Saccharomyces cerevisiae S288C: one gene and its partner. The protein of the gene in region 1 interacts with the protein of each later gene in a biochemical or structural test. Each region holds a gene or a part of one and is shown in the gene's direction. Other genes may lie near its edges. The genes, in order: RHO3 and TOS7.

What was found.
Region 2: the proteins of RHO3 (region 1) and TOS7 form a complex in vitro, tested with the Saccharomyces cerevisiae proteins (one study listed by BioGRID).

The regions. Positions count from the first base shown.
Region 1 is NC_001141.2:138,059-141,254, forward strand, and holds RHO3 (Rho family GTPase RHO3), read left to right. Parts: upstream 1-1,693; coding exon 1,694-2,389; downstream 2,390-3,196. Other genes in the region: pheromone-regulated protein PRM5, read right to left, coding at 2,555-3,196. UniProt on the Saccharomyces cerevisiae protein: Plays an important role in cell growth. Required to keep the uninucleated state. Modulates morphogenesis during bud growth via directing organization of the actin cytoskeleton and the position of the secretory machinery for exocytosis.
Region 2 is NC_001147.6:286,904-291,384, forward strand, and holds TOS7 (Tos7p), read left to right. Parts: upstream 1-1,994; coding exon 1,995-3,650; downstream 3,651-4,481. Other genes in the region: aromatic amino acid transmembrane transporter TAT2, read left to right, coding at 1-1,047; YOL019W-A (uncharacterized protein), read left to right, coding at 1,517-1,669; t-SNARE syntaxin TLG2, read right to left, coding at 3,978-4,481. UniProt on the Saccharomyces cerevisiae protein: Protein involved in secretion and cell wall organization. Contributes to cell surface-related functions as a auxiliary component of MCC/eisosome that specifically interacts with the secretory pathway.

The DNA.
Region 1 (3,196 bases):
TCAGTATTACGAAAACTATTAGATCTTTCTTTAATTTGAACAAGAAAACAAGACTATAAAAAAAAATACTCTTTAGGATGCAGACATAAAAGAACAATACGACCGTCCCTTATTTATATATAGTCCATAGAAATAATCTCAACCAATATAATATGCAAGAAAATAACGAAGTAAGGAACAAGCACAATGGTACGCCCGGTCTTGAAAAAGTTTAAAACAGTACTCGACCCTAGGCGCTAGGGTGGGTGACGCATTTTAACTTTGCAACAGAATGCCATATGCGGTGTTAACCTCACAAGATCGGCTCTACTATCTGCAAGCTGCGGCAAATACCAGAGAAAATTCCATTCCCGTCGACAAAATTTAACCGACCCCCCCCCCCCCCAATTTACGTTTATCAGCTAATCCAAATGTGGAAGGGCAACATTCTCGACGACTCCTTTTTCCGTAATTTAAGTTTGCCCAGGCAAAATCTTATACTTGTTTTCGTAAGAGAAAGATGCGCAGATCCTTTAAGGTTACCTTCAAGCAAATCCAGAAGCACAAATGGCAGGGGAGAAAAGACATGAAGCAGGAGTAGTCAACCGCAAAAACCCCCGCGGGCTTGTTGTTCTGCACATTTTTGATGTGTTTGTTCCTAAGACAAAGTCCTAACTTAGGGTAGTAAGTGACTATATTCTGCACGCTCTTAAAGCAGCCACCTCGTTTAATTTTGCATGCTTATATAAGCTTATAAACGAAGTACCTGAGGACCTGCATCGGCCGGCCCATGTGAAAAGGAAGTATTTACTTTTTCTTCTTCTTTACTATGGAAATAGCTGGAATCCGACTATGCATATGCGTAAGAAAAGAAAATGAAGGAGTTTTCACAGGAAAGCACACTTGCATACTGGGCACAAGTGAGGAGAGGGGCCTGTAATGCTTCTGTGTTTAAAAGACTCCGAAATTAGTCAACGCAGATTTGCAGATGCACGCAAGAATACATAATCAATCACAGTAAGCACATCTCCCCAAGGAAAGAGTAAATGCCTTCGAGCCAGCATTGTGGTCATGCGAGATGTCTAAGAAAAATACTTCGATAAGCACGAGGAAATGTAATATGTCTATCTACCTTATTTTTTTTACAATAAACATATAATAAATCCCTTATCTGGTCACGTGAATTAAACTTCGGGTGTGTTGTAAGAATGGAAGGAGTAAGCGAAACTCAAATTGAGGCCACTTACCACTTCCGGTCGAGCCCGGCCCAGAACCAGTCGTCGGCCAACTTTTTTCTTGGAACAGCGTTACCGCACCTACGCGAGAAATAGTAGATTATAGATAAGAAATACAAGGAGAGGGGTGTGGATGAGCTTTTTTACAAAATAGTGTAAGGCGTCCGGGAAACCCCAAGAACGTTTTTTGACATCCACTAACAGGATTACCCGTCATAGATATACTGGTGCCATTACCCGTTAATGGCATCTTGTATATTTCTTTTATCTTTCTTAACATTCCTGAAAATTGGTAAACAGTAAAAAGAAAAGAAAAAGAAAGAAAAAACATGTATTATTTTGAATTTACTGGAAAATAGGCAACCATTGATTTTCGTTTTTTTATCGTTCTCATCTCTAGCTCTGGTCAGCATTTTTTACTTTATAACAACAAGTTTTTCATTAAAATCCATAGTAGCACAAGGTAAAGGGAAACAAACATGTCATTTCTATGTGGGTCAGCTTCAACGTCAAATAAACCGATCGAAAGAAAGATCGTTATTTTGGGCGACGGTGCCTGTGGTAAAACTTCGTTGCTGAATGTTTTCACCAGAGGTTATTTTCCCGAAGTTTATGAGCCTACTGTTTTTGAAAACTATATCCATGATATTTTCGTTGACAGTAAACATATCACGCTATCGTTGTGGGATACTGCGGGCCAAGAGGAATTTGACAGGTTACGATCCTTGTCTTATTCAGATACGCAATGTATAATGTTATGTTTCAGTATTGATTCACGCGATTCTTTAGAAAATGTCCAAAATAAATGGGTGGGTGAAATCACTGATCATTGTGAAGGCGTCAAGTTAGTCTTAGTTGCACTAAAGTGTGACTTAAGAAACAATGAAAATGAATCTAACGCAATCACACCGAACAATATCCAACAGGATAACAGCGTTTCTAACGACAACGGAAATAACATAAATAGCACCTCAAACGGCAAAAACCTGATAAGTTATGAAGAAGGTCTAGCTATGGCTAAAAAGATCGGTGCGCTACGTTATTTGGAATGTAGCGCTAAGCTGAATAAAGGTGTCAACGAAGCTTTCACAGAAGCCGCAAGAGTTGCTTTAACCGCGGGCCCAGTAGCAACCGAAGTGAAAAGTGACAGTGGATCCAGCTGTACCATTATGTAATATAATAAGACACGGACGCACACACAAAAGAATAGAACCCAAAAAGAGAGACTAAACAAATAATATAATAAGTTATAGAAGTTAATAATACTCCTACTATTTTATATTTTTTATGTAATTACTACCACTGCTTAAAAAAAATATTGCAAAATATCATAAAAGTTTTTACTCATCCTGTTCTTTCCCCTCCAGCATGTGCTCGAGATAAGTCGAAGGTGTAGGTTTTCTTTTGGACTGTACGACCAACAAATTACCCTTACTATGGTTACGATTTACGCTACCATCACTTTCTGGTGAATTAAGCAGCTTTCGACTTGGTGAAGATGCAATTTTTGCGGGTTTCCTTATGTCTTCACCCACCTCCTTTTCATTACCGTTATCGAGCGACGATGCGGATGATGAAGAGATTGTAGACACCAGAGAATTTGTAGATACATTATCACTTGTCATAATCACAGGTTTCTGTAATAATCTAGGGCTTTCTTGGTAAAGTTTAGATAGCCTTGTTTTGTATAAGATATCACCTGTTGGTGAAATGAAAAGTGAATTTCTGTTGGATTCGGATGCAAGAGAGAATAGCGGCCTTTCGAAATTACTTAAGAATGGTTTTTCATTATTAGTATGAGATACAAGTGCATCTTTCACCGATTCATCCTTATTTCCGGGACTAATATCGGACTCGCTGATATGGACCTGATCTTGGAAATTTTCTTTGGCGGGATAATCCATATATGGGGAATCGCCGTAAAACTGGGTATGTTGTGTGGAAAACATCTTTGATTCGTAGTCCTGAACACTTCTGGTCAA
Region 2 (4,481 bases), on another chromosome or scaffold:
GGTGGAGGTCCCGACCACGAGTTCATTGGCGCCAAATACTGGCACGACCCTGGTTGTTTGGCCAATGGGTTCCCGGGCGTTCTATCTGTTCTTGTTGTTGCTTCGTATTCTCTCGGTGGTATAGAAATGACGTGCCTGGCATCAGGTGAAACGGACCCCAAAGGCTTACCAAGTGCTATCAAGCAAGTGTTTTGGAGGATCTTATTTTTCTTTTTGATATCACTGACCCTGGTAGGATTCCTGGTTCCATATACAAACCAAAACTTACTGGGTGGTTCATCTGTGGACAACTCACCTTTTGTCATTGCCATAAAATTGCATCACATTAAAGCCTTGCCCTCCATCGTCAATGCGGTCATCCTTATCAGTGTTTTGAGTGTAGGTAACTCCTGCATCTTCGCTTCAAGTAGAACGTTGTGTTCGATGGCCCACCAAGGCCTTATTCCATGGTGGTTTGGTTATATCGACCGTGCTGGTAGGCCACTGGTTGGCATTATGGCAAATTCACTATTTGGATTACTAGCATTTCTGGTCAAATCTGGCTCGATGTCTGAAGTTTTCAATTGGTTAATGGCCATTGCCGGCCTGGCCACGTGCATTGTCTGGTTGAGCATCAACCTGTCACATATCAGATTTAGACTGGCGATGAAGGCTCAAGGGAAGTCTCTGGATGAATTAGAATTTGTTAGTGCTGTCGGGATTTGGGGATCAGCGTATTCCGCTTTAATCAACTGTCTAATCTTGATAGCTCAATTCTATTGTTCACTATGGCCCATTGGTGGCTGGACCAGCGGCAAAGAAAGGGCTAAAATATTTTTTCAAAATTATCTGTGTGCCTTAATCATGTTATTTATATTCATCGTCCACAAAATTTATTACAAGTGTCAAACAGGCAAATGGTGGGGGGTTAAGGCGTTAAAGGACATAGATTTGGAAACCGATCGTAAAGATATCGACATCGAAATAGTCAAGCAAGAAATTGCCGAAAAGAAAATGTACCTAGATTCCCGTCCATGGTACGTGAGACAGTTCCATTTCTGGTGTTAATACCGAAGAAACAAGTTCAATTTATTTTTGTAGAATATTTTTTTTTCTCTTCTCTAGTACTCATCCTTCATAATTAATTATTCCAGATCATTTAATGCATAACGACATGACAATAAAAAAAAAACCTGACATTTTGAAAAATTATCATTTGAATACGTGGATGAAGACTTCTTCGAGCCAGGCCGCAATAAAATTAATAATATATATAGACATCAATTCTTGACCTACACAAAAATAGCTTCTCTCGGTAGCCAAGTTGGTTTAAGGCGCAAGACTGTAATTTATCACTACGAAATCTTGAGATCGGGCGTTCGACTCGCCCCCGGGAGATATTTTTTTACTTTTGCACATCGCTGGTCTTAGCTTTTTTACTTGATTCGCATTGCAATCTATCTGCCAAGAATGAACAAGTATTTTTTTCCTCTGCATCTTTCCCTGCCGTAGGAATCAAATTTGCAACAAGTCTGCAATGTCTAACACCTTTGTTGCAGTCGAATTCTCGTGGCTGTACGCAATTTCTCTTATCCTACCGTGTGAAACAATTCGCGTCGCGTGGGCGCCGAAAAGGGCTTATCACGGCACATCTGAAGAAAAGAGACGGCTGGCTCCAGCTGATATTTAGATATTTTTAGTTGAATAAAGAGGCAGGCGTCAGCGATATTGCATTGTCGCTGTGGTGGGCAGAAAGCCACGGTAATGCATGTCCTGTTGTCTCTTATCCTTGTTGATAAGAAACCCTCTTGATCAGCTAGTCATAATTTTGTCTCTTCTTGCATTCTCTTTCCGATATATAACTTATATCTTCAGGTGTCAGGCAATAGAAACAACAAGGCACAGCGTTAAAAGACCATCATTTCATTTTAGCTTGTCCAAGCACATACCATTTTTCACTCAAGCTATAGCAGAGAAGTTAGTAAACATTAATAGATTATAATATAAGAAAGGCTATGAAGAAAAATTCTTCGGTAGTTTTCTTCCTTGTGGGTCTATCACAATTCGTCACTATGGCGTTTCTCATTATCGGATCCATTACGGCTCCAATTTTCAAACAAATAGGCTATTCTAAATATGATGAGATCACATACGGTACATTCGGCTACTGTAAAGAGGGCTCCTGCTCAAAAGCAAGTTATAATTATCACCCCGATGAGCTATCAGACAGTGATAGCAACTGGAAACTCAATAGCAACGCTAGGTCTATATTGGGGAAAATCATCTTTATCACACCCATTGCTGCTGGTCTTAATTTTTTGGGATTTCTTTGTACCATCATGAGCGTTTTATTAATTAACGTGCTATCCAGTGATAGAGTTGGTAGTGCGTCTGCCATCATGTTTTTTGTTAATTTGACATTTTCCACTCTAGGCTTTCTTTCTGCTTCTTTGATATGTATCGTGGTATTTTTACTGTTTTACCCACATGTAACCTGGTGTTCATGGGTCCTGATACCAGGAGCTGCTTTATCTCTACTAGTAATTCCTTTGATATTCTCAGCTTATTCAAGAAGCTCAGGCTCAAGGGATGATGACGAAACCGAGGAACTGGAAGAAAAGGGCATGCTGCTGAATGACCCATATCTAAGTTCGAAGTCCGGGAGATTCGATATCGACGCTGATAGTGAGGCCAACCTCCGTGGTGATTCAAGAACGAATTTATTGGGTGACAATTTTAAGAACGGTACTAATATCACTGTTGTCCCAGATATTATTTCACACAATCAAGATCCGAAATTATCAAACATAACCACTTCTACCACGTCTGATATTTCTACTTTCGATAAAGAAGCAAAGGACATGGAAAATTCAAATGGTTCCGGACTTAATGAAGAAGAGGACGATGGCATGGCCTATGACAAAAGGAGGTCAACTTCAACGTATTCTGTCATTGAAAGTGAAAGTGGCTTGAAAAATGGGAGTGTTTCTAATAATTATGTGAGAAACAATGGTAGTAACACCAGCAACAATATAAACTATAAAGTTCCGCTAGGAAAAACGGAAATATCATCCAGTGCATCATTAGCGTCCTCAGACTACTCTCAAAGAGAGGTCATACCGCACAGAAATCCTTCGAGACTACTAAACGACATCATGGAGACCTCCTTCAATGAACCAAACGATAGCCACATCAACAGCATGTCCTCCTACAACGATAAAGATTCAACGTTGACTTCAATATCACAGAGAGGTGTCAATCCGGAAGTATACAATCAAATGCCTCGAGAAACAGCCGCTGGTCCTGCAAATATAAGGCCGTACGCTGGTCAGCCACACCCGGCGCCATTAGTGTATCCCCAACAACGACTACAACCACAACAACAGCAACCACAGCAGCAATATCATCAATACAATTTATATCAAAGAACTACTCCTGCTGGTCCAGATCCTTCTAATGTTATTTTACAAAGCAATCCTTATTTCAACGTTGCCCCAAACCAAGTGCCACAGCACAGAAATCCGGTACCAGGCGTCGGTTTTGCTCCGAATCCTTTACCAAACCAAAGCCCGATAACACAAGGATATAAGCCTGCCTATAAGAGGAGAATGCAAAACAAAAACTTGCCCCGAGCTACTACTTCACTGAACAATCCTTACGGATTTAGGTAAAAAAAGAAAAATGAAGGTTCTTTTTTTTTTTTTATATTCTACAAATCACAATAACCACCAACTTGTATTAAACCATATTTTATCATCTTCAGGAACTACTTATGCACAATATTCGTTCGCCAGTCTTTACTTGCGGTTCAATTTTATCCCATATAAATTTGTATTTTATTATCATACTACATACTTTATTGAAATCATATATTAACCTTTTCACTTTTCTCAAATAGAACGAGCAACAGGTCATATGAACGCTGACTAAATCTCTCAATTTTCTTCAAAGCATATTATAGTTCAAAATCGCGATGCGGTACCGTGAAAGTTTTGTCATCAAAGTAGGTCATCCAAAGCATCATTCTCAGATTCTGTTACTTCAACGATACTCGGCAAGTTGCTCTCTTCGTCATTAATATGGGTATTACTGCCGTCATCATGACTGTTATTAACTGTTTTATTATCATCATTGTTGTACTTGTTGCTACCATTATTACGACCACCACTGCCACCGCCATGTGGTTTCAACATAACAAAGAAAAAGAGCGCTATTACGCACAATGTTAGTAATAAAATGACTTTACATTTTTGAGTTCTCTTCTGGTAGTGTGTTGCTTTATTCAACTCTTTATCTGCACTTTTTAGCTCTACCACTGTATTTTCCAGATTATAATCAATCCTGTCCACAATAGTCCCCTGGTCAACAACCAAATCTTGCATTTCCCTGAAAATAGTGCTCACTTCTAATACACCCCTTGCCAACTGAGTAATTTCTTCGTCACGTTCTCTCAAATATGCTTCTGCAGAAGTGTCATGAAGCTGTTGCTGTCTCTGCAACGT